Linked DNA regions of Struthio camelus. The protein of the gene in region 1 purifies or fractionates together with the protein of each later gene. This does not show direct contact. Links are inferred from orthologs where the notes say so. Each region holds a gene or a part of one and is shown on either strand. Other genes may lie near its edges. The genes, in order: PRKCZ, NIPSNAP2, PARD6G and LLGL2.

What was found.
Region 2: the proteins of PRKCZ (region 1) and NIPSNAP2 purify together in Homo sapiens (affinity purification with mass spectrometry; 3 studies listed by BioGRID and IntAct, counting the BioPlex papers as one, with this or other methods). This does not show direct contact. The link is inferred for Struthio camelus from reciprocal best matches to the Homo sapiens genes PRKCZ and NIPSNAP2.
Region 3: the proteins of PRKCZ (region 1) and PARD6G purify together in Homo sapiens (affinity purification with mass spectrometry; 6 studies listed by BioGRID and IntAct, counting the BioPlex papers as one, with this or other methods). This does not show direct contact. The link is inferred for Struthio camelus from reciprocal best matches to the Homo sapiens genes PRKCZ and PARD6G.
Region 4: the proteins of PRKCZ (region 1) and LLGL2 purify together in Homo sapiens (affinity purification with mass spectrometry; 7 studies listed by BioGRID and IntAct, counting the BioPlex papers as one, with this or other methods). This does not show direct contact. The link is inferred for Struthio camelus from reciprocal best matches to the Homo sapiens genes PRKCZ and LLGL2.

Annotation. Positions count from the first base shown.
Region 1 is NC_090962.1:2,921,705-2,929,313, reverse strand, and holds the start of PRKCZ (protein kinase C zeta type), read left to right. Parts: upstream 1-4,601; 5' UTR 4,602-5,114; intron 5,115-5,217; exon of another isoform or gene 5,218-5,690; intron 5,691-6,577; 5' UTR 6,578-6,710; coding exon 6,711-6,781; intron 6,782-7,609. UniProt on the Homo sapiens protein: Calcium- and diacylglycerol-independent serine/threonine-protein kinase that functions in phosphatidylinositol 3-kinase (PI3K) pathway and mitogen-activated protein (MAP) kinase cascade, and is involved in NF-kappa-B activation, mitogenic signaling, cell proliferation, cell polarity, inflammatory response and maintenance of long-term potentiation (LTP).
Region 2 is NC_090957.1:15,436,458-15,443,833, forward strand, and holds the start of NIPSNAP2 (protein NipSnap homolog 2), read left to right. Parts: upstream 1-4,364; 5' UTR 4,365-4,436; coding exon 4,437-4,522; intron 4,523-6,367; exon of another isoform or gene 6,368-7,376. Other genes in the region: MRPS17 (small ribosomal subunit protein uS17m), read left to right, coding at 1-15, 1,379-1,669. UniProt on the Homo sapiens protein: Protein involved in mitophagy by facilitating recruitment of the autophagy machinery required for clearance of damaged mitochondria.
Region 3 is NC_090943.1:94,492,760-94,500,697, reverse strand, and holds the start of PARD6G (partitioning defective 6 homolog gamma), read left to right. Parts: upstream 1-4,923; 5' UTR 4,924-5,164; coding exon 5,165-5,236; intron 5,237-7,938. UniProt on the Homo sapiens protein: Adapter protein involved in asymmetrical cell division and cell polarization processes. May play a role in the formation of epithelial tight junctions. The PARD6-PARD3 complex links GTP-bound Rho small GTPases to atypical protein kinase C proteins.
Region 4 is NC_090960.1:8,491,808-8,499,616, forward strand, and holds the start of LLGL2 (LLGL scribble cell polarity complex component 2), read left to right. Parts: upstream 1-4,799; 5' UTR 4,800-4,921; intron 4,922-7,059; exon of another isoform or gene 7,060-7,107; intron 7,108-7,809. Other genes in the region: TSEN54 (tRNA-splicing endonuclease subunit Sen54), read left to right, coding at 614-730, 1,880-2,030. UniProt on the Homo sapiens protein: Part of a complex with GPSM2/LGN, PRKCI/aPKC and PARD6B/Par-6, which may ensure the correct organization and orientation of bipolar spindles for normal cell division.

The DNA.
Region 1 (7,609 bases):
TGAGATACTTGATAATTACAGTTATTGAATCAACTTTTTAAACTAAAGTATAACTAATCTTAAAGGTGCAGACAAAGAACTTATGCATGAAAATCTTAAAACAATGAGCAACCTATGAGCATGCCTGTTTTAGTCAAATACTGACCATCTGACTGAACACAGGCAAAATTTACTTTAGACATTCTAGTGGATTCCTGTATGTTTCCCTGAAGAATTCTCTCATGTATTGCCTTAACAGTTTGTCCCTTAGTGAGGGTAGGTATCCCTTTCAATCAAGATCCTCTGTTGCTCAAACCCTGGGATTTGAGGCTCTCAGTGAAAAATAACGTTGTGATCTGAGCTACAGAAAAAATAAACCTTGCTAGTCAATAACTCTTTCGTTCTTCTGTGATGACTCTCAAGTATTTCTTATGGGATATCTTGTTTCAAACCATTCATCTGATTTTACAGCCCCTTCTCCATTTAAATAAACATTAAAATATGGTAAACATCCCAACATCCATGTTATATACGCCCTTCATAAATATTTAAAAAGCAGCCCTACCTGTGACTTAGATTGTTTCAACAAAAAGTACAGCTCACAAGAACAGTGCAGTTCTTCACTAACCCAACTACATGAACATTCCTCTACTGAAATATATTTTATTGTATTCTACTGAGCAAAAAATTGGCCGAGCTTTCTTTTATGCAACCAAAATACCCAGTACCTTTAAATCTCTCCTTCTGTTTGTAGTCTGGATTCAGAGAATCACTTTTCTGGATCTGTACTTTACAATACCAGCATACGCAAGTGGAAGGACATAGTATGAAAGAGTAACGTTAGGATACTCCTTTTTCCCTTCTTTTTGCAGGAGCGGTAGCTGCCAGAATAGCAATAGGTTAATATAAAACATGGCATTCAAATAGATCTGTGTACCAAAATGTGAAAAAAGAAATGCTAAGATTATAAAGAAAAGTTAGAGCTATTTGGAAAATTTAAAATGGTTTTCCATTAGACTAATATGTCTATCAGTAGATCACAATGAGGCAAATGTACAGTGGAAATAATAGGAACTACAGTTAATATATAATAAAATTTCATACACACAAAGCAATTTCAGATGCAGTACATACCTTCCAAAAACAAACATTACTTACAGGTTTTAGGCAGGATGAGTAAAGAGGGCTGAGAAAATTTGTTTCTGTCTCAGTTATGCTGAAGTACAACTTGAAGAGAAAACGGTTCCCTCTAACCTAAAAAAAAAAAAATACACTATGTTTTTTTTCTGTTTTTGTAGCTAACCGTGCCAAAATTCTAGTAGCAAATACTACATGTGAGAGATCAAATTATTTCTACTGTATTCAAATTAATTAACATTTAAACCTAGAAATTTTCTCACTTCTTCCTGACTGTGGTGTATAAAGTTATATTTGACAATTGTTTTTTCTGAATGGCCCATGTAGTGAAACTGCTCTGAGATATTCCAGAATATTATTCTTTTCACAGAAGAGGTTAAAAGATACTACTTGCTCCATATGGAGACCAGAATAAACTAGTATAATTTCCTTCTCTAGATTCAGTGGGGTATTTTTGTGCCCTTTTTTTTTTTTTTAATGCAGGTAGTCCTGTTAAAATAAAGGGAATTACACACACACACCAACATTTTATATATAAAAATGTGTATATATACATATATAAATGTGTATACACACACACACACACACACACACACACACACACACACATGCATGCATGACATTATTATCTGAATAAGGGTCTGAGACAGAAAGGAAAGAATATCCCCTTGATACAATTTTCCTATGCAATTGCAGCCTATTTCTTTCAAAATGCTGAAGAGCAGATTGGACCACGATAAGGAAGTATTGTATTCCTCTTAGAGGCACTAAAACAGTTGCACTGCCTTGGAGTTTCCAAAGCCATTAAAGAGCAAATGTTTCTTGGAATTTTAAAAAGGAAAATACAGATAAAATAACTTTGCACTTTAGTGAAATTAATAGCCATTAACATAGACATCTGATGCCTGAATCAGGACTCTAGATCTGATGCCAGAAGCAGGACTCTAGATTGATGCTATTAACCCCAAATAATTTGTTTTCCCTTTAAACTAATCTTTAAAGAACAGTTCTCAGTGGCCTGTAGGACTAAAATAAGGGACTAGCACAAATAATCATTGTATATTCAGCTGTTTCTTTCCCAGACAGTTGCCTAGGAATATTTTGCCATCTGCTGGAAACATGTAGATATACACATTTATATAAATACGGACTTCAAAAATATCACAATCACTCATAAAATTAAATAACCAAGGAGATGTTACATTCAGAAACCAACGCTCTGCATGTTCATAACTTTTAGTCAAAAAGGCAATTCAGTAACATGAGGTAATAGCAAACTTCTCTACTGCAGCAATCGCAATAACAACAATACATTCTTTAGTAAAACAGTTTTCATCACTGCCACTATAAATCTGTTGCACAACTGGACAGTGAGGTTGAATGTATACCTGGTCCTTACATGTGTAAAGCTAGATTATCATTGTGGTCATATCTGTGTAAACTGGGACTAAACCCACTGATGCTGAGGTGAAGGGATAAGAATGCAAAACAATACACAAACCTGATGCATATGAGTATTTAGTACCACAGGTACAGGTGGCATAAAATAAAATGGCTGACCTGTAGGACCCTCAAAATAGTGGTGTTAATAAGGATACTATCAGGTCTTCAAATTTAGGTGCGGTTGGCAGCCATATAACAGCTTTGGTTTTATTAAGCTGAGAGTGGTTTTGTAGAAGATAAAAGTGCAATGCTCTGTCATCGGAAAAAAATAATCAGGATCAGAAATACATTCAGGATTACAGGCTCTAGGCCAACAGAAGCTAGCTGTGTTTCAAAAACAATATGCCAGACACAATGATCTTTCAATATGTTGCATTTTCAAACCAGTTACAACCTTGTTAACTAATGCACAGAGGAAAACCTACATCTTCCCACAAAAAAGCCATCTGCCCACTCTTTTCCCCAGAAGTGAGAAATATCTACTAACAAATTCAAGTGTTTAAACAATCCTGTAATACAACAAAATCTAAAGCAACAAAAAATAAGACTTTTAAAAGTAACAGCATGAGTACTAATTGACCAATAAAGAAAAATCTTTGCAAGATATACAAATTGCTTTGTATTCAGGTTTTCTGTAATTGCTGAAAGTGTATCCAACAATTTGTCCTGAGCAAGCTGTGCTGAGAAAAAACAACAACAAAAAAATTCAAATAAATCACAGTTCTGAAGAACTACACCATCTTTTATTTCACTGCCCAACATCTCAAGTATCACAGGATGTCTGAGGTGACAGAGAGATCAAAGTCTAGTTTGCCCTGAAATAAAGCATGTTCGTTGACACATCTTATATAACGTTCTCCATTTTAAAGATGAAATCTGAAACATATGAAGATTCAAGGGTCCAGTTTGAAACAACACTGAGAATTCCAATTGAGATAAAGTTAGCAACGGAGTCATTATTTATTCAAATTAAAGACTGTTAAATCAAACCAACTGCTGCATTTTTTTGGAGTCACAGAAAACATCTAGATTGATGGGAATAAGTTTTGCTTCTGTACTCCTACTTAAACTAGTATTAAGCATTATTCATATTTTTGGAAGTTCATAGAGACACCAAACAAAGCATTAGCGCTATATTCGTACAAGCGCACACATTCCTATAACCCTCAAGGGAATTGTAAAAGCGCAAAATGGTGTCTAAAAGAAACTTGAGGTAGGTGTGTACAAGGTAATAGCAAGAGACTAAGGATCAGTCTTTTCTCATTTTCAAAATACAGATTATGACTGCTCAACTCGGAGTAGTCAAACCCAAACCACAGTGGTTGTGACACCCTGGCTTGGTTTATTGTTCAGAGTTCAGTGGACTAGTTACCTGAAGGAGATGCAAACAGCTAAGCAAAAGCTCCAAGGCAAGCCTTTTGTTTGGATAGCTTATTGGCTTGCCAAATTGGTTTAGGTATAGAAGAAAACTAACTGGCCATTTTAATTCTTAATTTCCACGAGGGGACTCTGTGAGTACAACTATCCCACACCTCTGTCCAAAGAACAGAGGAGACCACTGTGCTTAAGTCATAGCTGATTCATAGTTTTAAATCAACAGATCAAAGTAGCATTAGGAAAAAAAGCACTTTATAAAACTGAAATAGTGATGACATTGGACGTTTCACAGGCTTGCCCTTGTGAAAGCGTAGGTAAGTCAGCACCGTTACAACAACGTAGTCCATTGCTTTTTTTCCTCCCCTCCCGATGTGGCTACTCAGAAGAAGTCACGATATTGTTATTTTTATTGTTTCATTTCTTCTGTACCTATTTATTTCGACAGCAGTTTTCCTGCCTTTACAGTCCCGAATGAAGTCTTCTCGGTTTGGGTGGTATGATTACCCTTCCATGGAACTACACTCTTGTGAAAGGAAGCTTTCCCTCTAACTCCGGGCGGCAGCGCCGCTCCTTCCGGGCACCGCCGCTCGCCTCAGCACCGCCCCCGGCCCTGCCCCGAGGCGGCCCCGCGCTCCCTGCCCCCAGCCCGGCGCTGCCTAGCCCGAGGGGGCGCTGCCGCTCCTCCCGCAGCGAGCCAGCGCCTCCCGGCGAGCTGAAGCTAAGGGGGGGCCGGGCGAGGCCACACCGGAGAGCCAAGGGGCCTTCGGCAGTTTGGACGACCCACTACCTCTCTAGAGGGCTCCGAGGAGAGCAGAACCGTAGCTCTGTGCCCTCACAGCGCCGTAACGGTCGCGTCTGCTCCTCCTCTCGGGCCTGGGGCCTCCTCTCGCCACGGCGCTACCACATCTCCGAGCGCATAGGTGCTGCACGGGCACAGCAGGGCACCGAAACCCTCCAGGGACGGACTAGGGCTACGGCGGAGCGCCAGAGCGCGCCCGGCCGCTGTCGTGTGAGGACAGCCGCCCCCTCTGGCCCCGCCCCTCCCATCACACCTACCGCCCCACCCGCCGCGCCCACGGGAGCCGCGCACCCGCCGCTCGCTTCTCCGATTGGCTGCAGGCGCCCGCCTTCCGCTCCCTCTATGGCTTTTTATTGGCTGAGAGGCTCCTACTCTTCAGGTAACGGTTTCTAGCCTATGATTGGTCACGGGTGGGGAATATCCTTTTGGGGATTGGCTGCAGGTGAGCCGGAGTTTGCTATTGGCCGGCAGGTAGAGTGGGAGGGGCTCTATTGGTTGTGGGTGCTTCTTCGTCGGCCATGTTCGGAGTGGTGGCGCTGGTGCGGCTAGGGCTGGGAGGAGGAGGAGGAGGGCTGGGAGGAGGAGGGGGAGGAGGAGGAGGAGGAGGAGGGGGAGGGGGAGGGGGAGGAGGAGGGGGTTACTGAGGTGGGGAGCGGATGAGCAGCTACGGGGGAACCTGGGGCTCTTTCCGCAGCGTGCTGCTGCCGCCACGGTTCCCGGGGGACTCGCCTGCCCGGAGGGCAGCGGAGCCGGGGTCCGACCCGAAGTTCCTGGCGGGACTTTGAGCAACTTGGGGGCGGCGGGAGCGGAGAGCCGAGCTCTGCTGGGACGGGGCTGGAGAGGCAGGCCCGGAGGGCGGGCGTTGTCGGTGAGCTTTGCGGAGGTGATGGGGAAGGGGATCCTTGGGCACCCGGCCGCCGGGGAGGGACCTGCCTCGGCCGGAGCAGCAGAGTAGGTAGGAGGAAGGGGGAGCCCCAGAGGCGTCCCTTGGGCGCGGCGCGGCAGGGAGGGAGGGAGAGGCCTCGTCCGGGCGAAAGCGTCCCCTGCCTCTCGCTCCCCGCGCGCGTCGGGGCCGCGGCGTCGCCCCCGGGTCGGCGGGCGCCGGAGGAGCCCTGGGGAGGGCGGGAAGGGGCTGCGAGTGCCCTCAAACCCCAGCAGGGGAGGGAGCCCAAGTTCTGGCATCTTTCCATGGTCCGTGTGGCCCCGCTTCCCTAGAGAGCGGGCTTAGGGAGCTGTGTGAAAATATTTTCGAGTATGCCTGTATATGGGAGGGAGCAGAGAGAACCTCTGAAGAAGCAGGATATTTGCTTGAGAGTCCAGTTCTAAAGGCAACTTAGACAGCCCTTTGGAGTTCTTTCACTTTTCTTGAATAAATTTGTAATTAGCATGAATGAGTAACTGTCTTCCATGTATATGCAAATTACTTTGAATTGGAATTCTCTACTGTATGAAAGAAAAGAGCCAGAAGTAGTATGGATGAAGAAGTAGTTAATTCCTTTGAGTATTTCTGGCCAGGAAGGAACTACTGGATATTTTGTTAGAAAATATTGTCCTTTAAAAAAACCAAAATTTAAATGTTTTATACCAATTGTGCAAAAAAAAACCCAAAAAACAAACTGTCTTGAGTTCCGATCGTCTATAAATTGGAATGCTTATGCAATGCAGGGTAGTTTAAACTGATTTACTTCATTACTGTGCCAGACAAGTCTTATTGTATGTTTTCCTTTTGTTTTCTTTTGGCTTTATATGTAAAGCTACTTGAGTTTACAAAATCTGACACAACGCATTTGTTCAGTAGAGCGTGTGTATATTCATCTGTATTTTGATTTTTCTTTCTTTCAGCTGGATTGACTGTCGTCTGGAAAAGATGTGCATATATCACATCTGAAGTCTTTCACTTAAGAATTAAATGAATTATCTGCTCTTTCTATATAGTTACCATATAGTCATTCATTTAGACTGTTGAATTTAGACCATGCCTAGCAGAATGGGCTCAAAAGTTAATTTGAACAGAGACTTCATCAGGGTGAAAACACACTATAGCGGGTAAGTCCACATATTCCCTCCTGTGTATTGTGTCATACCTAATTTTGAAGCGTATCGAACAGGAGTCTATAGTCTCACTTAGTAGCAGAGTAACCAGGAAGCTGATGGATTTGAATGTAATGTCAGGACAAGTATATAAACTTCTAGGCTATTAAAATAAACATCCACAACAACTGCAGCACACTGAAACATTTTAAAAGAGTTGCTGTTTTATTCCTTAGTCTGGGTTGATGGGTTATTGCTTTCTGTTTTCTTGCAAGTGTTTTACGTTCACAGGCAGATAAGTTGTTCTGTTACATCCAGATACAGTTGTTATATTTTTATAATATAGAAATACATCTATTGTACTTTATTATATTTACTCATGTTGTGAGCTCTGAATCTGCAGATTACCACTGAAATTAGCAGGAGACTACTAAGTGCAGGTTTCCACTCACAGATGTCAGTTCATGACTGTGTGCTCCTTGGGACAGAATCTATGGTATTTAGTACGAGAGCTCTTTTCCGGTGGGATTTTTTAGATATTGTTTTTAATTTACAGTGGTCACTGTTTGGAAAATTATTGGAGGTGGGGTTTTTTGTGGGTAAATATGTAAATCTTGAAGCAACAATCAGATGTCATTGGATTTGTCTGCCTCTTGAGAAATTTTGAAGAGAATGCTTGCCAGGGAGTTATCTAGGTAAATGTGGGAAGAGAGAATTTTAGTTAAATCTCAAATTATGAATAAACTTAGATTGAGCCTATGTAAGCTGCTTGAAGACTCAGTTTTAACAGTGTGTGTGTTTTTTCTTAAAAATCTAAATTCAAGACACAATGTTTATTTTCAT
Region 2 (7,376 bases), on another chromosome or scaffold:
CCTTACTTATTAAAGGTAAAAGCTGCTTAATGGTTTGTTTTACAAGATAATGTTTGTGTTCTGTGTGGCAGAATCTTTAATTGATTTGATTCTTAAAATTTTTAATAGCTCTTTATGCTGTAAACTCTTTGACTTGCACAATGATTTGGTTGTGGGGATAACTGTAAAAGATGAAAAGCAGTGTATTATCAGGACACTTACAATAGAGATTATCTGCTAAATGTGTTTCTTTGGAGCGCTTTTTTAATGCACTGTGATCTGAGTTGGGAGGATAGGCTTTGTTTCATGCTTAGATTGATAATTTTTTTAATATTGATTTGGAGTATGCTTTATCTTGGAAGCTTGACATTACCTAGTCACTTTTCCAGTACACTCTTGTAGCTGTTTTCCAGTGTGCATAATTATAAGCCTATTTAGTATTTGAATCTATGCTGTGGTGTGCTAGAAGAGCCTTGCATTTGTAATTTCTTGTCAATGCATCTCAAGTAGGGAGGTTAAAATTAGTATTTTCCCAATTTTAGGTGGGGAAACTATGGCACAGGTAGGTGAAATAACTTGCCCTTGGTGACCAGAAGGCTAGGAATAGAATGGAGTTCTTGTAGGTCCTGGGATAACTGGACTAGGATTCACAAGACCCGTACTTTATACAGTAGAAGAACCTGATGATTCTCTCCTTAAAGGAGAGATTCTGAATCCTGCAGTATCAATAGGATTAAATATTGAACTATTACGTGAAAGAACGAATTGAGCAAAAAAACTTGAAAAAATATGACAAGCTTTAGTGCAACACCAACTCTGGGGCTGATGAGCTTTAAGAGTGCTAGAATGGGTAAGAATTGATATCTGTTTTTGAAGTATAAACTGTTCAGGAAAGTCAGATTATTCAGCTTGGAAGAGCCAAGGCAGCTAGCTGCCTTGCTGAAGCAGTGTGGAAGTGGAGCATCCTAAGGGGAGAGAAGGCTAACATGGAGAACAAGAACTAAAGAGCAGAGAAAGGCCAATGGGAAGTGGTGATGCTAGAAAAGGGCGTCTATGTTAAGTGAAGAAAAGCTTATCTTTGCCTGTATCCGTGTTTTCACTATCAGCAACTTCTTGTACCTTTGCTGTCTTTTCCTCATCTCCTTTTCCAGACTCTTGTTGGCAATAACATACTAGCAAGTCAAGAGAAGGTGGTAATACTGTGCTTGCTTTGAAAAAACAGTACTGTGCACAACTGCACTTCTCTTCACAATCCAAACTTGAGCTCATCAGAAAACCAAAGGCGAATAATTATGCAAAACTGTACTTCTCATTAGAGAAATTTAGTTCACTTTGTATTAAATATATATTTACCATTGCTTCATTTTGGAACCTAACGCCAATGCTTTTCCTTCCACAGTTCTTTAACAAGCGAAAAACTTATTTTGCCCATGATCCGTTGCAGCAGTGTGTTGTCGGAGACATTGTTCTTCTAAAAGCTTTGCCTGAGCGGAGGAGCAAGCATGTGAAACACGAACTGGCTGAAATTGTTTTCAAGGTTGGAAATGTCATAGATCCAATAACGGGAAAGCCCTGTGCAGGAACCAGGTTCCTTGAGAATCTGTCAGATTCAGAAAATCTGACAGAGGCAGATACTACCTATTTAAGTGAAAAGCTCCAGGAACTTAAAGTTTGTTCAACAGACAAATAGAAGGGAAAACGTTTATGTGGAGGGCTTTTCGGCTGATCTGTGAGGGGCGTTTGGGGCCCCATTGTCATATGTGAAATGTTTCGATGATTTTTGGAGTCACAATAAATAGCAAACGTAATTGCTTCCAAAACTGGATGTTACAGATTGAGCACCTCAAGTTTCTAAATGAAAAAATGATGAAAATGTCAGTTAAGTGTTAACACTTTGTCACCTTGCATGTAGTTTTGCCTGACCTCTTGATAGTTTCGGAAGCCAGCTATTCACTTACAATGGCTCTTCTGTATTGAGAAACAGAAGACTATAACTGTATAATGTTTAAGCTGGGAGGGGTCTGTATTTTAAGTATAAGCCTACAAACAAAGATTGTCAGAAATGCAGGACAATGATGTTAAAACTTTTGAAAGGAAGTATAGAAATCTTGAAGCCAACTACCTTATGTGTGTCCTTATTGCCTCCTAGTCACTTCAACTGTATTGCTGTATTTTACAACTTCCAGAATGTCTAAGAAACAGTCACTTGCCTTTAAATATTGTCACTTTATTGCTGTTATAAACTTTGGGTAGCTTAGCGTGGTTCCCTTTGTGGGAAGAAATCTATACAGAGTTTGCTAAGCTGCCCCAGTCAGGGGTGGGAAATTAAGAACTGTCATTAAGGTCGTTAGCTCTCATAAACTGCTGGATAAATGTTCTTATTTCAGGAGGAAAAAATGCTTCCTTTGCAACTGATTTAACTTATCCAGAGAATATATTCAGTTTGGGGAGAGAAGGAACTTTGAACTGCCAGCAGGAAATAGAAGGTGATGAGAATACAAAGCTACAAAGTGAAAGTAAACATGCTTAGATTTTAGTCTTGTTAGAAGAGCTAGTTAAAGCAACACATTGGGAGAGAGAGAGGTACTGATTTGCTAAGTGCTGTAATATAAAACAGGAAGGCCATAGAGGTTAACGATTTATCCTGCTGCAGCTCTGGGGATCATGTGTCCTGTCTTCCCAGACGTAAACTAAGAGTATGCTGTTACGGCAGCCTTGTGTAGCTGACTTTGGTTGGCTTTGTATGCAGCTCTAAAGGAAATCCATGTCAAAACAGCATTTGCAGGGATGGCATAGCATCCTCCTGTATGGAGGAGAGTGAGTATATCAAAGCTATGAGGAATCCTGTGTGAATAGGTGTGTGTTTATCTATGTTGTTGCTCTTTGCTTAAGATTAGAAGCTAAAGAAGGAATTTCTGAATAGAATTCCTCTGCTGGTGACTTAAAGTATTTTGGTTTTCTTTTTTGGAAACTGAACCACTCTACATTAGTAAGCTATCAGTTCTTTCAGTGTCCTGATGCTGTAAAGTATTTGCGCTTTTAACTTTTTGGTTTCCTTCACAGGTGCAAAATGACAGTTTCGGCTGTCCCCAAACTGCTGGCAAAGTCAGATTGAACTCAACAAATAATTTGAGCTAGGAGGAATGAGAGACTTAGCTTAGCTTCAGTGTTTCTGAACCAAAATATTACCTTTTTGAATGCTAGACTGTTTCTTTCTCACAGTCCTCAAGTCATATCTTATGTTTCAGTGAGATAACAAACTGTATCCAAGCAGTCAGTAAAGGAATTTGAACCCAGTTCTTTGGGATGCAAGTGAGTGTCCTACTAACTAAGCAATGCAAAATAAAGGAGTTTTCTCCTTGGTTAATGAGTAGCATCTACATCTAATTGTGATTTTAACATGCTTTCAGGTCAAAATGTGATTAAATGTACATGCGGTATTTTTTTTAAAATGTCAGTCCCATATTAAGTTAAAAGGGTCTTTAAAGATGCACCACAGGTTTTTCTATTTTACTGTGAGCAAACACTGGCACATGCAGTGTTGACATTTTGCAGTGTGTGCTGATGATGACTGACAATAGGTTTACCTAATGAAATTTTGTAGACCTCATTTAGATGTGCTATGCAGAAGCTCAGGCTTTATTCATAAACTTCTTTGCTGTGTTAATTGATTGGTGTTCTTTTAGTAAAGTCCTTTAAATGATAGCTTAGTTTAAAAAAGTTATTTGAAGACTTGATTATTACCACACCATCTGGTTTAGTTAAACTAAGTACTATAGCTGGAACAGATTAAGAATGAACACTTCAACTGCATGTGGGTGAAAAATTTACTTGGTGAATAAGAAACTAGGTTTTTTATATGTGATTCAGAAAATACCCTCTGGATTCTTTCTTGGTAAGTAATTTTCATGGGACATTACCCTACTACTTAGTGGCATCTTTTTAGCCTTCCAAAACTTTCTGCGAGGTCAGGAGTGAAAGATTAAACCAGTAATTCCAACGGGGTTGGATACTACAGCTAAAGGCTTTCACAGATGCGTTTCCTTGCATGCCTGCTGGGTGAGGGGAAACACAGCCGGCGGGGGGCACTTGACAGCATGTTACTTTCTTCCACCTGCAACGGTAATGAGGAATGCGATAGCCTTTAGGAACGACAGCTCGAGCTGGTGTGTTTTGCACGTTGTTCTGTTGGTTAAAAGCGCGGGGAGCGGCAGCGGAAGGTCAGCGGGTCCCTTCCCGGGCGCTGCTGAGACGAAGCCTTGCGCTGCGCTTGGCCCCGCGGCGGCGGCGGCCGGCGGCCCGGGCAGCGGCGCCCGCGCATGCGCAGCGGCGGGGGCGGGGCCGCAGGACCCTCTGGCGGCGGCGCGCCCCTAGCGGCCGGCGGCGGCGCAGTGCGCCCCCTTCCTCCTTCCCCCCCCCCCGGCCAGGCGGCGGAGGAGGGAGGCGGTCGGAGCAAGATGGCGGCGCGAGTGCTGCTGCGGCGGAGCCTGGCGGGAGCCAACGGCGGGCCGCGCCTGCCGCCCGGCGGCGGCCTGGCCCTCAGGTGAGCTCTGGGACGGGGTGGGGGGTGCGGAGGGAGGGGAGGCCGCAGCCGGCCGCGGGTCCACTCGGCCCCGCCGCGCGGCACCCCCCTCCCCGTTCCTGACTGGAAATGGCGCCCCGCTCCCCGCGGGCGGCGCTGGGCCCGGCGGCGGCGGAGGGGGCAGCGCCGTCCCTCAAGGTCACGGGCCGCCAGGCCAGCCCCCTGCCCTCGCCTCCGCCAGTCCGCCCCCGCGGGGAGCCGAGCCGAGCCGCCCGCTCCTGGCGAGGGCCGCGGCATCGCTGCGCTACCGCGACGGGCTGCAGGCCGTGCCCCCCCCCCCGCCGTGTCCCCCGGTGTCGGGGTGCAGGACAGTCCCCCCATCCCCTAGTGTCGGGGTGCAGGACATCTCCCCCCCACCCTGCGTCCCCTGGTGTCGGGGTGCAGGACAGCCCCCCCATCCCCTAGTGTCGGGGTGCAGGACATCTCCCCCCCCACCCCGTGTCCCCTGGTGTCGGGGTGCAGGACACCCCCTCCATCCCCTAGTGTCGGGGTGCAGGACATCTCCCCCCCCACCCCGCGTCCCCTGGTGTCGGGGTGCAGGACACCCCCTCCATCCCCTAGTGTCGGGGTGCAGGACATCTCCCCCCCACCCCGTGTCCCCTGGTGTTGGGGTGCAGGACACCCCCTCCATCCCCTAGTGTCGGGGTGCAGGACATCTCCCTCCCCATCCCCCAGTGTTGGGGTGTAGGATACCCCCCCCTTTATCCCCCAGTGTCAGGGTGCAGGACACCTCTCCCCATCCCCCAGTGTAAGGGTACAGGACATCTCCCCCTCCACCTTCCTGGTGTTGGGGTGCAGGACACCCCCTCCACATCCCCTAGTGTCAGGGTGCAGAGCCATCCTGCACACCTGCCCCACCAAGTAACAGGTTGTGCAGTTACCCCCCATCTATGTGTTCCCTGGATGTCAGGGTGCACAGACACACACAAGCACACACTTTCAGGGTGCACGGCCATCCCACACCCACGTATTCCCTGCTGCTGGGGTGTACAGCCATCCTGCACCCACATATCCCCCCGGTGTCAGGGTGCGCAGCCGTTCTGCATCCCTCCCCTGCTGGGCAACAGGGTGCAACCCTGCACTGCATATCCCCTGGTGTTGGGGTGCATGGCCAGGCACATGCCAACACCCCCTGGTGTCAGGGTGCACACCCACGGTGTCAGGTCACACAGCTGCCCTGCACGCCTACCCCATGGAGCAACGGGGTGCACAGCCGTCCTTTGCTTGTGTGTTCCTTGAGTCCAGGCATGTGGCTGCTCACACTGCCAACACCCATCTGGTGTCAGGGTGCACAGCTGCACACGCACCATTTGTCAAGTCACAGCACACTTACCTGTGTGTCAAGGTGTGACGTGTGTTTCTTGGGTGTTAGGGTGCAGTCCTGCACATGTGCACGCCCGTGTATGCATCCCTGGTGTTGGGTGCAGGCACTTGCATGCAGCTGCTGAGTGTCAGGGTGCACAGCCGTATATACATGCTTCCTTCAGGTGCTGGTGTGTGTGTGCACATGCACACATCCCCCAGGTCCCAGGGCACATACACAGCACACCTTTTGCCTGTTGGGTGCAGGCGTTCACACACCCACACGTGCAGTCTGTGAAGAGTCAGACACACGCACACCCCTTGGGTGGCAAAGGCACAGACACACACATCCACAACTCACAGGTGTCTGGGCATGGATATATACACATGGCCCTTGGGTATGGGGGGAGCAGACACACGTTACGTTCTTTGGGTGTCGGAAGCACAGGAGCGCCCGAGCTGGGATGGATCTACATCCGTTTTTCCTCCCTCTTTTTGAAACAGGGGAAGCTGCTGTCTCAAGCCTCAGAACGGACAGCAGCCCCTGTGCAAGGCTAAAGGGATGAGCTCTGCAAGCAGCTGTTTGAAGTGGGAAGGGGGGGAGTTGTGGAGAGTACATGTTATGAGATTTTATGTGCATGAGTATTTTTCTTTGAAATAAACTTTGACGTTTGTTTAGACCACAAATCAAAAATTGTCAATTTGTAGACAAGTTCTTTTTCTTTCTCTTCCAGGCAGACATGAGTTACTACAAAGTTTAAATATTTGACCTGATACCTCCCTCTCCATCCAATTTATATTTTGTGCTAAAGCAGAAGTTAAGTGGGATAGAACTATTTTCACCCGCATTTTTAGTCTAACATAAGCAAACTTTTCAGTGTTCCCATTTTGTATTTGCAAACCAATCCTTGTGGCATTGTGCTAGGTTCTGGGGGATGAAACTTATGAGAAATGGATCAGTCTGTCAATAGTATACAGGAATTAAAAGTAGAAAAGGATAGACTTAGGTTTTTAAAATCATGATATTCATCCTTTGGTAGCTGAAAATGTCACTGGAACATAATTAAAATACTTATAACTTTACATTGTTTTTTCTAGTAATTACATATTGACCTCTACGTTTTGAAATAACACACAGGAGCTGACAATAGCTTTTTTGAAATGTGGATTGACTTCACCCAATCATTTGCTTTTTCTCTGCACCATCCTCACAAACGTGCCATTTGAACTGCTGTATCAGGTGCAACGACAGGACCCGATTCTGAAAAAGCTCGTGTGTATAATAAAAGCTAAGTCCATAGTTAAACATTTGTAGGGTAAGAACCTCCTAGCAAAGTCAAGCAGTGTCTTAGAAGATTCTGTGAAAACTCTCTTCTGATAAGTATTGTTCCTAGAAAATAAAAAAATTGTGAAGTGTGATGTTAATTCCATGTAGTGTGTCTACATTCATTCTGTGCATATATTCATATTTACATTAGTGACATTCATATAGTTTGGATCCAATATCTGATCT
Region 3 (7,938 bases), on another chromosome or scaffold:
TACACCCAGTGTGACAGATTCCAGTGGTCATCAAACAAGATAGATAAGCACTTGGACCACAGAAAGAAGAAGAAAGGAATGATTATATCTTCATGATAGTAGCTTTCTCATAGTCGTATTAACATTACAAATTAACAGTACTGAATTTCCTTCCATTTCATTAACTTAATGAAGATCCAGTCCACTAAAGTCCATTAGAAAACTTAGCAATTACTGCAAACAAGTAACTCCACTATCATTGTCTGTATTTTAATAACCCATTCTAATTTAAGTTACAGTTTAATACAGAAAAGATGCATGGGAAGATAGAGATGATGTCAGCTGCATAAATCATTTGACAGTACGGAACTCATTAGAAGATGGATCCTGCACTTGCAAACTTACTATTATGCTTCAATTTACCATAGAAGTAGGACCATCTGTAGAGGGACAAAGTGAAGGCTAGCTTCATCTCGAGGGGGGAAGAGAATCAGGCAGAAGTCCCCACATACCAGGCCTGTGGTCACTAGCGCTTTCTTTAAGTCAAATATATTTTAAAGTGTTTGCAGTCATCGTTTTGACACTGAGAGTAACTTCTGTCTATACAGCACCTTTCATCTAGAAACCTGAAGAGCTTTCTGAAAATTAACTCAGTGCTTCTGCACGGCCATTGCATGTTCAAAATTCATACCAGCAATGTGTGAAATGCTCTCCTTGCCAGAACTTGTGCTTTTTTTTTTCTTTAACTAGTCTCTGTTACCAAGCCACAAAACCATGCAATGGAGACGGAAATCTTGCAACACTGTTGAGGTGTATCTGCTACCCTGTTTAATGCTTGTGTTGATTGCAGTGACAAGAATTTACATTTTAAGCAAAATTTTTATCCCACATGGAAGTAGAAGGATCTACTTCTAGGTAACCCGCGGAGGATGAGATCTATTTGCCTGCTTGAAATGAATGACACTTGGGAGACATTATTGTTTTTCATATTTTTTTTGTTAATCAAGAAAGGAAAACCAAGAATCGAAGCAATGGAATGTTCAAAGTTCTTTGAAAGGGAGCAAAAATTCTGAAATTCAGCAGAACAAGTGTAGTCTGAATATTTGCAGTCTTTAGTGAGCAATGCCTTATCCTAGTGATTTACAGAGCTAGAGCATTCTTTGGAGGCAGAATTCGCAGCACAATCTCCTCTCCTCCCTCCTCCCACCCCCAAACACGCCTCTGCTAATCAACCTTTGCCATCCTTGCAAAGTGCTGTTGCATTTAACCCCACTTAGAGGTAATTTGGAAAGAGAACAATCAGTTTGGTAACCCATTTCTAGTCTCTGTCTGATGATATTTGGAGATTAGCTGCTGGGACTGTGGCTTCTCAGCTCCTTTGGTTTTTGAATTATTTGCATGCTAATAACTGTAAGTACATAACCAGTTATATAATATCCACCAGATAAGTCAAAGGGGTGCGAAAATCCACCAAGGCCAGGACGCCTGCCTCCCGCTTTGCTGGGACCCCCGTCTGCCCCCACCAGCTGGGTGGCGGGCACACATCAGGCTGGCTCGCACAGCCCTTGCCTGGGAGCACTCACACTGCTCCTTTCCCAGCAGGCGCTGTTGTAAAACACAAAGAAATCGAGCTCTAAATTATACTGCTCCTGGCATCGTTTTATTGCCTGGTTCTCTCCAGCAGTATTTCGCCTTGTAAAGCAAAGCGAAGGTCCTCGGCAGCGCAGAGCCATTCTCTTTGGAAATGCTGGAAGCTGTCATAGCAAGTGTCCATCTCCGTTTTCACTCGTGAGCTCTGTGGTACAACTCAGCAGGTGCCATTTCCTCAGCCGTAGATCTGGCCGCTCATCTTGGGACTACTTTAGAGTTAAGTCACGCGAGAGGTTTCCTTGATGCTTCATCTTCCTGGTAGTAAAGAAGCGTCGGGTTTCCCCACCCCTTGGGAGCAAACTCTTTGCTCTTTTTCCTAGTAAATTAACATGCAGCTCTGGAAGGCCTGCAGGCAAAAGCTCTTGAAAGGAAAGAGAAAGAAGACATTTTAGCGTAAGGGAAGGGACAGTGGAAAAAACACTGGGGCAGGCAGTCTTCTCTCCCCATGTCCCCGCTGCTCCTGTGGCTGTGGCATTACTCCTTCTGCTCGCCGGTGGGTGGTCTCCTGCACTGGGGCAACTGGTGTTCCCTGGCATTGGTCTCTGCAGCTGATTAAGTAGAAACTATTATCCCTGCGGCAGGAACACTGCTCGCTACGTACAAAACAGCAGTCATCATCCCCGCTCTTCTCTGCTTTGTGCCATGCTTCATTTCATTTTACATTTAAAGAAACCCAAACCAGTCCATCATTGCAGCAGCTCCCCCAAGCCATTTGGACTTATCATTTGTAACCCTTGCAAATTCAGCGCGAAGGGGAAAAATAAATCTTTGGATGTGAGTCTGCGGTAATTTTCACTTCTCAAAACATGTAGGCGACTGTTGTTAACATTAATGAGGCATGCAGCTAATCAGAGTAAGTCCCTTGCTTGATGAAAACAGCACTGCAGGAGTACATCAGGCACAGAGTGCAGCACCTTTCATTCCCCCAGTGAACAAAATTCTTTTAAAACAGAGGAGTATTTGAATATTTATATTTAAATGTACGGCCTGATAGGATCTCTGGGCTGTAGCATCCCTGCCGTACTTAGGGCAAGAAATGAGGGCAGAAAGGGGCTAAGGGACTGGGCCAGGGATGCGTGAGTGCAGCCATGCTCACGTCAGCAAGGGCTGGGACACAGCTACCACGGAAGAAACGGCGATCTTAGCTCTGCAGGTGAGAAACAGGAAAACTAGTTACAGATGACCGAAACAGATGAAAACTTACAGAAGTGGTTAGAGGAATGTGGCGCCCTTGGCAAATGATGAAAAAATTGCTGAAAGGTGCCTGAGTAAAAGCGGTCAAATTAAAACCATCTTCGTGACTGAAATATGGCAAGAGTTTGAGGGGGAAGCAGCAGGTAGGAGCTGCAGTGCCTGCTGCACCACGGAGCCAGGGCAGTCTGAGAACAAGCATTTTTTTGTTCCTGCTGTAAAAGGAGATGAAGACACTGCTCATTAAGGTATAGCATAGACATGGGAAGAGTAGACAGCAGCAGGACAAGTTTTCTGAAGCTGCCTTAATCATGTGCCCCAGCTCTCCTCTGCAGAAAGGAGATCAAATCTAAATGCAATTTGGAAACGTTAAAAAAAAATTGTATCTTAACAAACCTACAAAAACGGACTGGATTTCGTGACAGTTGTTTGAGAAACTTTCTTATCCAACAAACGCTATGCACTTATATAATATTGTTGTATTTTTCTACAAATTTCAATATACAATCAGATTTTCATACTCAGGCCTTCTGCCCATGTGTGCGCCCATTTTGGCCTAACCAACGACCTATCCAGAAACCGATCGTTCCCCTGATGAGAGTGGGAAAAAAATTGCTTATTTTAATTTAGAAAATAATGGATGTTTAACTCAAATTGGATGCCATTTAAATAAACCACATTTTTATTTTAAAAGTCTTCACATCATTACACTTGAAATTATGACAACGTGTATTAAAGTCTGAACAAAAATAATTTAAAATACGATATTCATATTTGCGCATGGGATTTTTTTAAGAGACAAACTGATAAACTGGGAAAAGGCAGCAGAAACCAAGTTTTGTTAAAGTACTTGGAAAAGATCCTTTGATAGCAGTAGCCTCTTTGTCGGTGTAAAGACCGTATTTCCTCCTATCGGTGTAGTCACCCTGTTTACTGTGATGAGTGTTTAATTCAAAGTTGAAAAAGTGGGCAAAAACTGAAGAGCGGAGAAGCTGCTCCTCTAATCTGTGGATAAAAAGCAGAGTGAGAGGCAGCGATCTACTATTTCTAAAACGCTGTAGTATACAAGAACTGGAAACAGCATTAGTTCCGTTCCTGAAATACAGTAATTTGTGCGCTTAATAAATCTGTTAGCTTCAAGGACAGGGTAGATGGGAAAAAGAGGGCTGCGTGTTTCTGTGGTGGTGGTAATATGAACAGGACCTCGGATGGCTGCTGTTGACAGGGCAGGGAGCGTGGAAGTCCCCCGAGCTCTACTAGTGAATCAACCTCTGACTTGCGCTTTGAAAAACGTATCTTTGCTCTGAACGGATCCAGCATGGTTTAGCGACTTTTGTATGAACAAAAAATTAGTTCTTTTTTGAACATTTTAATTGAATCCTCTTCCCGGTTACCCACAGCTAGGTAGGCATTATTAGCTTTAAAAGTCGTTATTAATATAAAAGAGAGGGTAATGAAGCATTTGCATTTTCTGAAAGAAAACAAAAAGTCCAAAAGAATTTAATCTGTATTTCTCAAATGAGCATCACGGATACCAGGAGAAAGTACCACATTTAGCGTAAAGACTACAGATTTAAATTACTTACTAACTGCTGAGAACTGACTTTCCCTGAGGGGGGGAAAAAAAAAAAGCAAAACTAAAAATCTAAACCAGAATTAATACTAATCATGCCTCCGCTGTGGCTGTGATTTCGGTTTAAACCAGCTGTTGGATTTCGGGGTCGCGCCGCGCACGTGGGATCATGCCAGAAGTCACCTCAGCATGTCCTTTTCCGCCCCCCTGAACTCGTGGGGCGCGGCGGCCGCCGCCGTTGCCACCTGCCCCGGGGGGGACGGGGAGAAAGGGGGCGAGAAGGGGGCGCTCAGGTCTGCACGGCGGCGTGTGGGCGGCCGTCGGGGACGTCGAGCAAGGGGGCGCACCGGCCCGCGCCGCCTTCGCGCCACCGCCGGCCCGGCGAGGGCCGAGGGGCGGGGCGAGAGGCGAGGGGGCGGGGCGAGAGGCCTGAAGGGGCGGGGCGAGCGAGGCGAAGGGCGGGGCGCAGGGGTGGCGGGAGGCGGGGCGCAGGAGGCGGTGCTCTGCCCGCCGGGCCGCCAGCCGGGGCCGCGCGGCGGTTGGGAGCCGGAGCGCGAGCCCAGCGGAGCGGCCGCTCTCATTGGCGCGCCGGGACAAAGTGGCCGCAGCCCCGCGCGCGGCGCGGCGCGACACGCTCGCGGGGGGCGGCGGGAGCCGCCGGGGCCGGGCCGGGCCGCCGGAGGGCAGCGTCCCGCGGGGGACTCGCAGCCCTCGGTGTGCGAGGCGCGGAGAAGGAGGCGGCGGCGGGGGAAGCAAGCGGGGACCGAGAAAATGAATCGGAGTTTCAATAAGTCTCAGACTCTGCGGTACCTGGAGTGCAGCGCGGTGGAGGTGAAGAGTAAGGTGAGGAGAGCGCGGCGCGGCCTCGGCCGGCGGCGGCTCGGTCCCTCTCCGTCCCCCCGCCGCTCCCCGCCGTGCGCGGAGCCCCCCGCCGCGCCGCTCGGCTGCGGCAGCCCGCGCCGGCAGGAGCTGGCGGGGCGCCTCGCTCGGGCTCCGGCGGTGTGTGTCCGCCCCGCCCGCCTCCTCCCCCCCCACGGCGGGACCGGGGGCGGCGCGACCCCCTTCCCCCCGCACGGCCCGCGGGGGCCGGGCCGGGGGCTGAGCGGGATCGGGGCGGGCGGGCGCCGGGGGCGCCGTGCCCGCCGCTCCGGCTCGATCTTTTGTTTCGCCGCAAGGACTTCGGCGCAAACTTTTGCGGGGGGGGGGGGAGAGGAGGAGGAGGGAGGGCAAGTTTCGAAACCGCCCATTGTTTTCGCTTTGCCGAAAAGCGGGGGATTTCGGCGGGGGCTTTTCGGCGGGGGCTTTTCGGCTAGCGGCGTGCGGAGGGGAGGGGGGCGGCAGCGGGACCGCCCGCCCTGCCGCCGTGGCGGGGCTCGCCGCGTCCCCGGCCCGGCCCGGCTCGGCTCGGCCCGGCCCGCCGCGGGCTGCTCGGGCTCCGTGCTCCCCCTGGTTGGGCGCTTGGCGGCCCCGGAGCGGAGCCGTTTAGCGCTTTCTGCTTATTTTCTAACCGGTTTGGTTAGGTGGGGAGGAGCGGGGCTCCCCGCCGCCTCGCCGAAAGCGAGGGAGCCGCCGGGGCCCAGCTGGGCCCGCCGGCCCCCGAGCGGGGCCGCCGCTGCTGGCGGCGTCGCGTCGCGTCGCGCCCCGGCGGCACCGTCCTCGGCCCGAAACGCCTCAGAGGGCGAGCCGTTCCCCAGATGCCGCCGCCATCCGTCTTGGGGGCAGTCCGCAGGTGCCCCGGTAGAGTTGAGCGAGGGAGCGGGCAGGGAAGTGGGTGGAAAAACGGGGCCAGGCTGGTGCTGGTGGCGTCGCCGTGGTGTGGCGGCTGCGAGGCCCGGCGGCTTCTCCCTCGCCCGTCCCTTCTGCCGGGTGTCAAAGGGGAACGGGGCGCGCCTGCCCTGGCGGAGCCAGCAGGTTGTGCCTAAGCCCTTATTTTTTTAGCAGCGGGGTTGCGAACCACAGGACAGTCGTGCGCGGGCACAGCTGCGCGTTGTGGCTCGGCTTTTTTAAACGATGATTTCAGTTCTCTGTTTTTACAGTTGGTCTTGCTGAGGGTTCTCCAACAGGTCCGGTCTGGTCGCTGTTGCTTGAAGCAGCACATCAAAATCTTGTCCACCTCTCCTAGGTGGAAAAACACCTCCTGCTTGAGGGAAAACTCAGAAATCTCCCTGGAAGCCTGCTTTCTATACACATGTCTGATCAGTGAGTAGGTTGGAAAAAAGTAAGGAGTAACATTCGCATGTTCTGGGAAACTGTGCACTGGCTACCTGTTTACACAGTGTTGGAGCTGAGGTGTCAGGCACTCTTGTTTGTGTTCAGTGCTCTCCGTTTCTGTCCTCTGCCGCTGTTAGTATTTGCATTGAGATCAGCCAGCCTATAGCTCTGTCTCAGTGGGAGGGCTATCTCACGTGCAGGGGACTCTCCAATCATTTCCGAAGGTGACATCTGAAACGTGGGTTGAGAGCTCTCATTTCCTAACCTCCCATTGCTACTCGAGTGTTCGAAGGGGGTCAGCAGGCCAGGGACATTTTCGTCTTGCTTACACAGCTGGAAAATTTTGGTTCGGTTTGTACTAGTTCTAAGGTGTAATCCGCCCCCACAACATTTGATATGACCCCCAAATCCTCCAGATCCAGTTTTCTCATCACTGGCTTATACCCAATGCAAGCTTCAAAGTAAAAACTTGACCCCAGTTAGACAGGAACTTTTAAGTTCATACTCTTACTGCAGTATTCAGGTGGAAGAAAGTAAAATTTGTTCTCTTAGTAATAATTTAAAAGCAATCTTATAATGAACACCACATAGCCTCTGTTATAGCTGTAGAAATCTTTTAAGTGAATCCTATGTAGCCATGTAGATACCAAGTCATTTAGGTAGATCGCGAGTGTGAACGAGTGACTGCAGACCTGCAGAGAGAAGGAAATCCATTGCAAATAAACTTGTGTGGGTGGAAGGGGTTTACTGGAGGCCTTCTATAGTTCAGGGAAGTTACTGCTAATGGCACAGACGTTACTTTATAGAACAGCACTGCTTCAGTAGGGTGGGAACTTAAAATAGAGGCTGAACTCTAAATAGCATGTGGAGGGCCTACACCCAGTGATGATCCATTAATGTGCAACTTGGGTCAAGGGAGGCCAGCTGTTGAATTTCCTGGTTCTGGTGGGTCGTTTTGTCCGCTTACTGTTAGTGTGACTTGTGTGCATCAAGTTGTTGGAGAGGTTGCTACCGAAATTGCGAGGTGGTTTTCTTTTGTCCGTAAGGCTCACAGGTTTGCTCAGAGGGAGTTATTGGATTGTGGAAGTCGATCCAGTGAGAAACTCTGGCCAATGGTGCCTGGACTGTCTGGAGCTGAGGGAAGGGGAAAAACTTAAATACCTTCTATTCAGTAATGCTGCTTTTGGTAGCCTTATGTAGTCAGCCTTTTAAACATCTAGTTGCCTCTGTTTTGTAAGTACAAGGCCTGTCCAAACCTGCCTGAGAACTAGAAAGTTGAGTCTGAGAACTCATGATTTTGCATCTATCTTCAAATGCTGTAGCCTGCCAGGCGA
Region 4 (7,809 bases), on another chromosome or scaffold:
GCATCTTGTGACTGTCCCTGCTTGTGAGGTCTGCGAGACGCTCTCAGCAGCAGCGTGGGAGCTGCCTAGTGTCCAGGATGCCAAGAGAATCCAGTGCTCTGTTCCATGGCCCTCTCGCACCTTTAGCAAAGGGCTGGTATTTCCATGAAGCTCTGGGTCAGGGAACCAAGGCATTCCAGGCTGACTGTAACTTTGAGGGTTGCTCTCTTCTCCTGATGTTCCCTGTCTGCATGCTGGCCAGGGAATCTCGCCCACAGGTTTGGTTATGTTTCACCTCTGCCTCATGCCTGAATGTGCTGCCATCCCTGCTGCGCAGTGCTTTGCTCCTGTATCGGTTTGTGTTTGTGGTACTTCTTGTAAGGAATGCAGGGAGAGGGAGAGCGTGGCGGATGTGGGGAAGGAGCTTGCTCTGGTCTGACATGAGGAAGTGGGGGAAGGTCTGGGAAGTAAATGACTGACCCTGGAACTGTTCTAATTTTCTGGGGAGTGAAGCTTTCTAAAAAGCCCAGACTAGACAGGCTTCCAGAGCTTTTGCTCCCTCCTTCCTCTGCTGTAGCTATACCCTGTGACCTGTCAATCCCATAAGCACACAGATGTGTTCTCTCTTCTGCAGGCTGCAGGAGGACACAGAGGGCATGACAATAGACTTCAATGTGTATCAAGCAGATGCTGTGGCCAAGTTTAAGAAGACGAATCCTGGAAAGCCCTATGTCAGGATGTGTGTACGGAGGTATCAATAGTGCATTATGATTTCTGTTGAAATATCCCTGTTGCTGATGTGGGGATCCTAATGGTCTGTAAATGACCCAGGATCTTGGAGGCTTTGCAGATCATCAGAGTGACTGCCTCTAGGGTGGTCCTGCCCCGAGGTTTCCTTTTCTTTCTGTTCCTCCTTTCTTGGAGTCTGTGGCTGACTCTTCCCCCAGCCCTAGCACTCAGCCCACACTGTTTGGTCATCTGGTTGCTGCTCATGCGGGTATTACTGGAGTCGGGAACAAGAAGCAGCCACAGCTGTATTTATGCAATGCCTGTGAAACTCGCACAGAGCCCGGTTTTGCAGAGAGCCATATGGTATGTGACTCCTCAGCCAGTGCAGATCCCTGTGGATTTATGCAGAGCTGTGCCTACCTAGAGGTGACTACTGGCTCAGGGCCATGGGTTTAGTATTTTGATCTTTGTCATATGTAATTTTGGGGCAGGTATCTGCTTTCTTGCCCGATCCAGAATCTGATACTTAAATTCCATAGGTAGATGCAAAGTTCAATTTCTGCCTTTTCTAGTTTTGATATACTAAAACAGTCTCTTCTCTACTCTCAACTTCAGTAGAGACAGAGGAAGGAAGATGGTAATTCAGGTTTACAAAGGTCTGTGTTATGAATTAGTAGGATGATCCTTACTGCAGAAATATTTCTGCAGAGTCTGTTCATTCTTAAATGGAATTAAAAGGAGGTCAGATGTCGATCCCAGCAACCTAAAGAACTTCCTAATATAAAAGTATTTAGATTGGATTGGCAACTTGCCAGTAGCCCTGTGAGCTGCATCTAATAGCCACAGCATGGAGCACTGTACAGTTGCCCTTGTTTTCAGCAAAGGATTTGACAGCTCCTGGTTCCTGGCATGTGGTGTGCTCTCACTGCTGGCAGTCTCCCGCTTTGCTTGAGAAGTGTGGGGAGAGTCAGTTCCAGCTCATGAGACCAGAGGGGGTGACCATTGTGAGCTCTGGTTTTTCAGGGATGCCCAGCTGGGTGAAGTTTGAGGGCAGCCTGGCTTGTTGCTGTGAATTGTCTAGCTATTGTTCTGTCTCTGATAAGCAAAACTTCCCAGAACAGCTGGGTTTATGTATTCTTCTGTGCTTTGAGAACTATTTTTCCTTCTACAGCTTTGACGAGCAGATTCCATCCCTTCGAGCTTTGAAGCAGGTCACATACCAGAGTGGGGACGTCCCGGTGGTCTTTGCACTGGTGGACCATGGAGAAATTGCCTTTTATTCGTTAAAGGAATTCAAGCTGCCAGTTGATATTAATCACTGAAGTTGCTGTCACGGGCAGAAGTGATGTGGGATGAAGGGGAGAGCTTTTATTCAGGATTTGTTTTCTTGATTAATGAAATACTATGGAAAATAGAGCTTATGATAACCAACTCTTACACTTGGTAGTCCACCACTGCAACTGGTTTTGTTCAACCAGGAGGTGGCTCATCTATAAAAGCAAATTTACTGCAGCCAAGCAGTGTGTACAGCTTAGCCGGGCGTTTCTGGACTGGAATACACACCGCTTTGTTCTTGAAGCCACTGGTTCTCCAGCTCTCTGATCTCATGGACGACTAGCCTTTTCCCTGTCATGTCTATCTGTCCTGTGGACCGCTAGAAAATACTTTGCTGGTGACCCTCTTTTCATATGTTAAGAACCACTGTGCTAAGCCAGTCTGAACGGTTGGAGAATCATTGAGGTCAGCCAGGGCAGAATAAGCTGATCAGGTCAGCGGTGGTCTCCTGAGCTTCTGTCATTCAGCTGCGCCAACGAACATTGGATCAGATTCTTATGTGAAAAACAAAGTCGCAGCCATAAAACTCAGCCAAAGGAATCAAATTTCTAGATATTTGAGAGCAGGAAACTCTGGGCTTTGTGCGCTGTTTTGTCAACCAGAGGTCCCAGAAAACCCCAGAGCATTGCAGATGGCACCCAGCCTCGTGCTGTAATGGCTGTCCGGAGATGTGGTTTGGCCACACAGTATTATATTTTATTAAAATTATGCCACCAATATCAGCACACTGTGTCTGATTCTCTCACCAGGGCTGCACTGCAGCCTTCTCTGTTTTGTCTGTTGACATCCCTTTTTCTGGCTGTAGTTCCTTGTCTTTTCTTTTGCAAGTGAGAGATCCTTGAGCAAAAAAAGAAGCTACAGATTCCTCATGAGCCTTCCAGTCCCGTGGCTTTTGTGCTCCAAAGTGAGGATGAGTATCCCATCATGGCTTTCCAGGCCCTACCATGGGAGCCTTCTGCCAGGATATGCAGGTACCAAATCTGCTTTAGCCTCTCTGAAAAATGACCAGTGAGGGCTGCCAGAAAGCCTGCTCAGTGGATAGAAGGATGCTGAGCAGGGCTGCGTTCAGTATCTAGCTTTCGTCAGAAAGGTAATACCAATTGTTTTAGATGCATTTTATTTGATAATGTTTGAGTTCCTTTTGGGGTTGGGGAAGAGGCAAAGGCTAAAGAATAAAAAGCCTTTTCCAACAATGCAAGCTCCTGAGTGTTAACTTATTAACATTTCTGAGGAAACTAGGCAGAGAGGGATGCTCTGGGGAGGCTGTCTGGACGCCAGTAGCACTAGCTCCTGAATGCCTGCTCCTGGTCATACAACTAGGTGGCTACATGGCCCCTTTCCTACACCGGTTTTGTGTTCTCATCGGGCCTCGCCATCAACCATGCCTTAGTTCCCTAGGAGGGCATCGCGAGTCAGAGGCAGGAGGAGTCTGTACCTCTGCGTGCAGTCCCTGTCGGCACACACCCCCACCTTGCCATCTTCCTGGTGCATGGTCAGAGGTGTTGTAGCCCAGGGTGGCAGCGATCTGCTGCAAGCTCTTCACCTATTCCTGTTCCGTGCACACACCTGTATTACCAGATGCTGGAAGTCATGAGGGCTCCACTGAGCTGAGGGTCTAATTTAATACCTCCTCTGACACACACCCTCCTTTTCCTCTTCCTCCCTCCTGGGAGGGGCTGTGTTTTAACTCTAATAGTCCTCTTTAAAAAGCCAGGGCTGTTGGCAGTTCTGGTCTGATCCCTCAGCGCTCTCCCAGACTGTTTTGCAGATTAAAGGCAGTGGGAGGTGAGTGTCTAAGAACAGGCATAGGCAGAAAAGCTCCAGTCCGGCCCATGGGGCTCACGTTTGTCCTGGAATTAGGTCAAATGCGTGCGCTCCTGTTGAATTGAATCAGAGCCTCATCTGCTTATGCCAAGGTGGAACTGTATCGATGGACAAGAGCCACCCAGTGAGTTTCGCTAGGGCAGAGACTCCCTGATTCAGCACAAAACAATTACAATTTAATAACCGTGGCAGGGAGGATTGAGAAACTGTGGCTGCCTTGCTCAGCAGCACACCATCTGACGGTGCCTTTACCCCGCGGGATGAGATTGTGATGCAGACTGATACGGCTGCTTCGTTTGGACCCACGATGTGGAAGAGCTGGATGTTGCAAGGAGATGACAAAGTATTTTAATTGAATAATTTCACCTTTTGAAGCTCGGCTGAAACACTGACCATTACTGAAAACTTGTCTGAGGTAATTTCAAGCTTTGTGTCGCTGCAGAGACGTTGACAGACCTCGCAGTGCTGTTGCACTGCCACATAAGCACAGTCCTAGCCTGGCTCTTGTTGCCTTGCCGCAGGACCCGGGCTCCCCGCAGCGGTTGATCCCCGCGAAGGGTTCAACTTGCTGTTAAGTCTGTCTCGTTTTTGCAGCCGATGACGGGTGAGCCCCTTTTCTCGACGTTGCGTGGGGCCCTTGGCGCTGACGAACACCTGAGCGGGCTGGAAAGCGCCTTTCCCGGCCGTTCCCGTCCGCGCCGCCCCGGGGCCGCGGCGCGGGGCGCGCCGGTGAGGCCGCTCGGCTTGAATGGCGTGACGCGGCACAGCGCGCGGCTGCCTATAGGACGGCGGCAGCTGTGGCCGCGTTCTGATTGGCTCCGAGCGAGCGGAGCGCTGAATTATTCATGACGGTGCCAGAGAGGCGGGGCCGGATGAAAGCGAGGGGAGGCTCCGCCCCGGGAGGTGATTTGCATGCGGGGCCCCGCCCCGCCGCACCCCTCCCGGAGGTACCCAGGGAGGGAGGACGGCGCCGCCGCCGCCGCGCAGGCGAGGGGCAGCGGCAGCGGGCGCGGAGCGAGGCCGGGGCGGCCCGGCTCGGCTCCAGGCCCCGCAGGTGAGCGCGGCTCGGCCTCGGCCTCCGGGGTGGAGCGGAGCGGAGCGGGGGGTGACGAGCCGTGCCCGACGGGGGCCCTCCCGGTGGGTCCGTGGCGAGCAGCCGGGGCCGGAGGCCCCCCCCCCTCCGCGGGGGCCGCTCCCGGAGCCGCCGGCAGGTGCTCGCCGCCCCCGCGTCCCCTCTCCGCTGGGGCGGTCTCCTCCGCCGCGGCGCCCGGGCCCTCCTCCGGCCACCCGCCTGCGGGCGGCGGGGCGGCCCCGGCCGTGGCGCCCGCGTCCCGGTGCAGCCGGCTTTGGCTCTCCCGTAACGCGTTTTTTTTTGTTGTTGTCGTTTGTTTTTTTGTTTTTAAACTGAGTTTAGTTTATTGCGCTCGCTGTGGACGGAGCGCGCGGTGTTGCCGGGGAGCTCTTACATCCTGGGATTTTCGCCCCGGCGGCGGCTCTTTTGCTTCCCGACTTCCTGTCCCGGCGCTCGGTGCGAGCGGGGCGGCCGCATCCCCCCCCCCCCCCCCCGGCCGGCCGCATCCCCCCGGCCGCCGCCGCCCCTCGCCCGGCGCGGCCCCTCGCAGCGCTGCTGCCGCCCGGCCCCGGCGCCGAGAGCGCTCGGGAGCGGCTGTGCGCCCTTTCGGGACGCTCTGTTCACATCCCCCATCCGATACTCAGCATACGGTGTCACTTTTCTCCCTTCTTTCCCCAAACTCGTACGAGCGAGATGGGCGAGGGGGCGCGTTGCTTCTAGCAGCCAGCGAGGGGGCCAAGCAAGACGGGGAAAGGAGTCGTGGGGGCTTCGCCCCGCGGCTGCGGCGGGGGGACAGACTGGTTGGCGGCCCCTCGCCTCCTCGAGGTGAGGCTTCGGCGTGGCTGCGGAGGCTGTTCGGCGTGTTTCCGTTTCACGTTGTTCACGGAGCTGTTGAAGTAACTTAAGGGACTGTTTCTGCAGCGTAGTGGCGTAAAGCTTTACGTGAGGATAGAGGTAAGATGGGAAGAGAGCTTCACTGAGATAGTAAAATTAAAAGCCGTCCGTTGTAATCTGTTACTTGAATGGCAGTGCTGCTCTTTGTAGTCATCTGAGAGCACCTCGGTCAACTGGAATGTCTTGCTTTACCAAGTCCCTGGTGAAGCTGGAGGCCCAAAGCGGGCTGCCTGCTGGTTTCATCTTTGATTCGGGAAGCTGGCGCTCTAGCAAGCGGGATGCAAAGCGGTGGCACGTCGCGGCCAAGGCTTCTCCGTGCGTCCTGACGCGTTCCTCGCGCTCGCAAGGCGGCCCGGCCCGCGGCGGGGGCAAAGATGGTCTGCGCGAGTTCTGAGCGCTCGCTAGTCCTGCTCAATGCTGCTTGTTGAACTCTTCTAGACGTAACTGCTCCAGGGACTCTGTTTAGTTTCTGGTATTAAAAGGGGGAAGAGTTTTTAAACATCTCTGTAGGATGGCGTTGAAGAGCATCTCTTCTCTTTGGTCTTGTACAAGTTGCATCTACTGTTGCTACTGACTGAAGAAAATTACTGGAGGAGTTAAACTGGTTGAGATAATCCTGTATCTTCCAGTTGCTTTCTGGTACAATAATTTGATTATTATTGGGGAATTGCTTGTGGGACAGATGTTTTTTCCTGACTGACTAGCGTCTTGAGAAATGTCAAAGGGTAAGAGGATTTAAACGTATATGCGTAATGCAGTTACTACATCCCAGTAAGAGGTTGTGATACTGCTACTAGTCTGATCTTTCTTTACAATACTTTATCCAGGGAGGGACTGGCAGTAGTTGGAAGTTCAACCTCTGTGCAGAAATTGTATGGAAACTCCAAATCTCACCTACAGGTTTCTTTTAGGTGGATTTCTCTGTGTGGCTTTAGAAAGAAAATGCTTTCACGTCCCCACTATTTTTGGTGTAAAAATGCTATCCTGAAGTTATTTTCAGGATGATGAGCCATTCTGTCTTTCACTTGAATCACACTTCTTATTTAGAAGTCTACAAAGAGTTTTGCATTGTGTGCAATAACGTTGTCCAATGCAAAGACTTTGTTCTGCTGTAGCATTTTGAAACTTCATGTTGTCATGCTCCCATGACAAGGAGAATACAATAGGAGTCATAATGACACATAAGTTTGCACAGTTAGCGAATTCATCACAAGTGGGCAGTTGCTGGTAACTCTGAACGCAAAGCTGTGGAAGTCCATGAACTTTCCTGATTGGTAAGATTGGTTCTCGATCCTTTTCTAAGAAATCAGAAGGATCTATCTTCAGTTTTTAAGGGTGGCCACCTGCACAAAGTGTTGATGTAGCTGGTTCAACTGCCTGTTTACATGTCTCTCTCTCCAGATTTGCAAAAAATAAATCCTTTTTATGGAAGGATCTTTCAGCTGTCTTCTCTGCTAGTGCCTAATTAACGCATGCAAGATGCATCTGAGCGCTGTCCTGTTTCTGGAAAGCTGTGAGTGATGAGATGCTAGCAGTTGATCAGCAGTTATGTCATGTAAGGGAGCTTTTTGCTTGGTCTTAGTAAACTATGAGATTACTGATGTTTTTAGAAGGAACGTCTTTCCAAAAGAAGCTTTATCCTGGGGGGAAGAAGATGGTATCTAGCGCTTCCAAGCTTTCAATGTGCTGCAACCGTTCCTTCGTTTGCTCTAGCTCTTCTGCTTGGCTTCTGCTTTCTTATTTAGTATCTGTCTTGTTAGTGTGTGCGGCTGAGCTAGGTTATAGAAGTGAACTTTACAGTGACAGCCCGGCTAGAAAATAGCTAGGGATTGCTTCACTGATTTCAAGCTGGAAGTGTTCTAAAACTTGTCATTTCACAGTGAATCATGTCTGCTGGATCTGATGGCTCCTGCACTTGGCACACTTGAGACCCCTAGTACTTAAATGATGCTTTGGTTATCTTTTTGTTGAGAGAT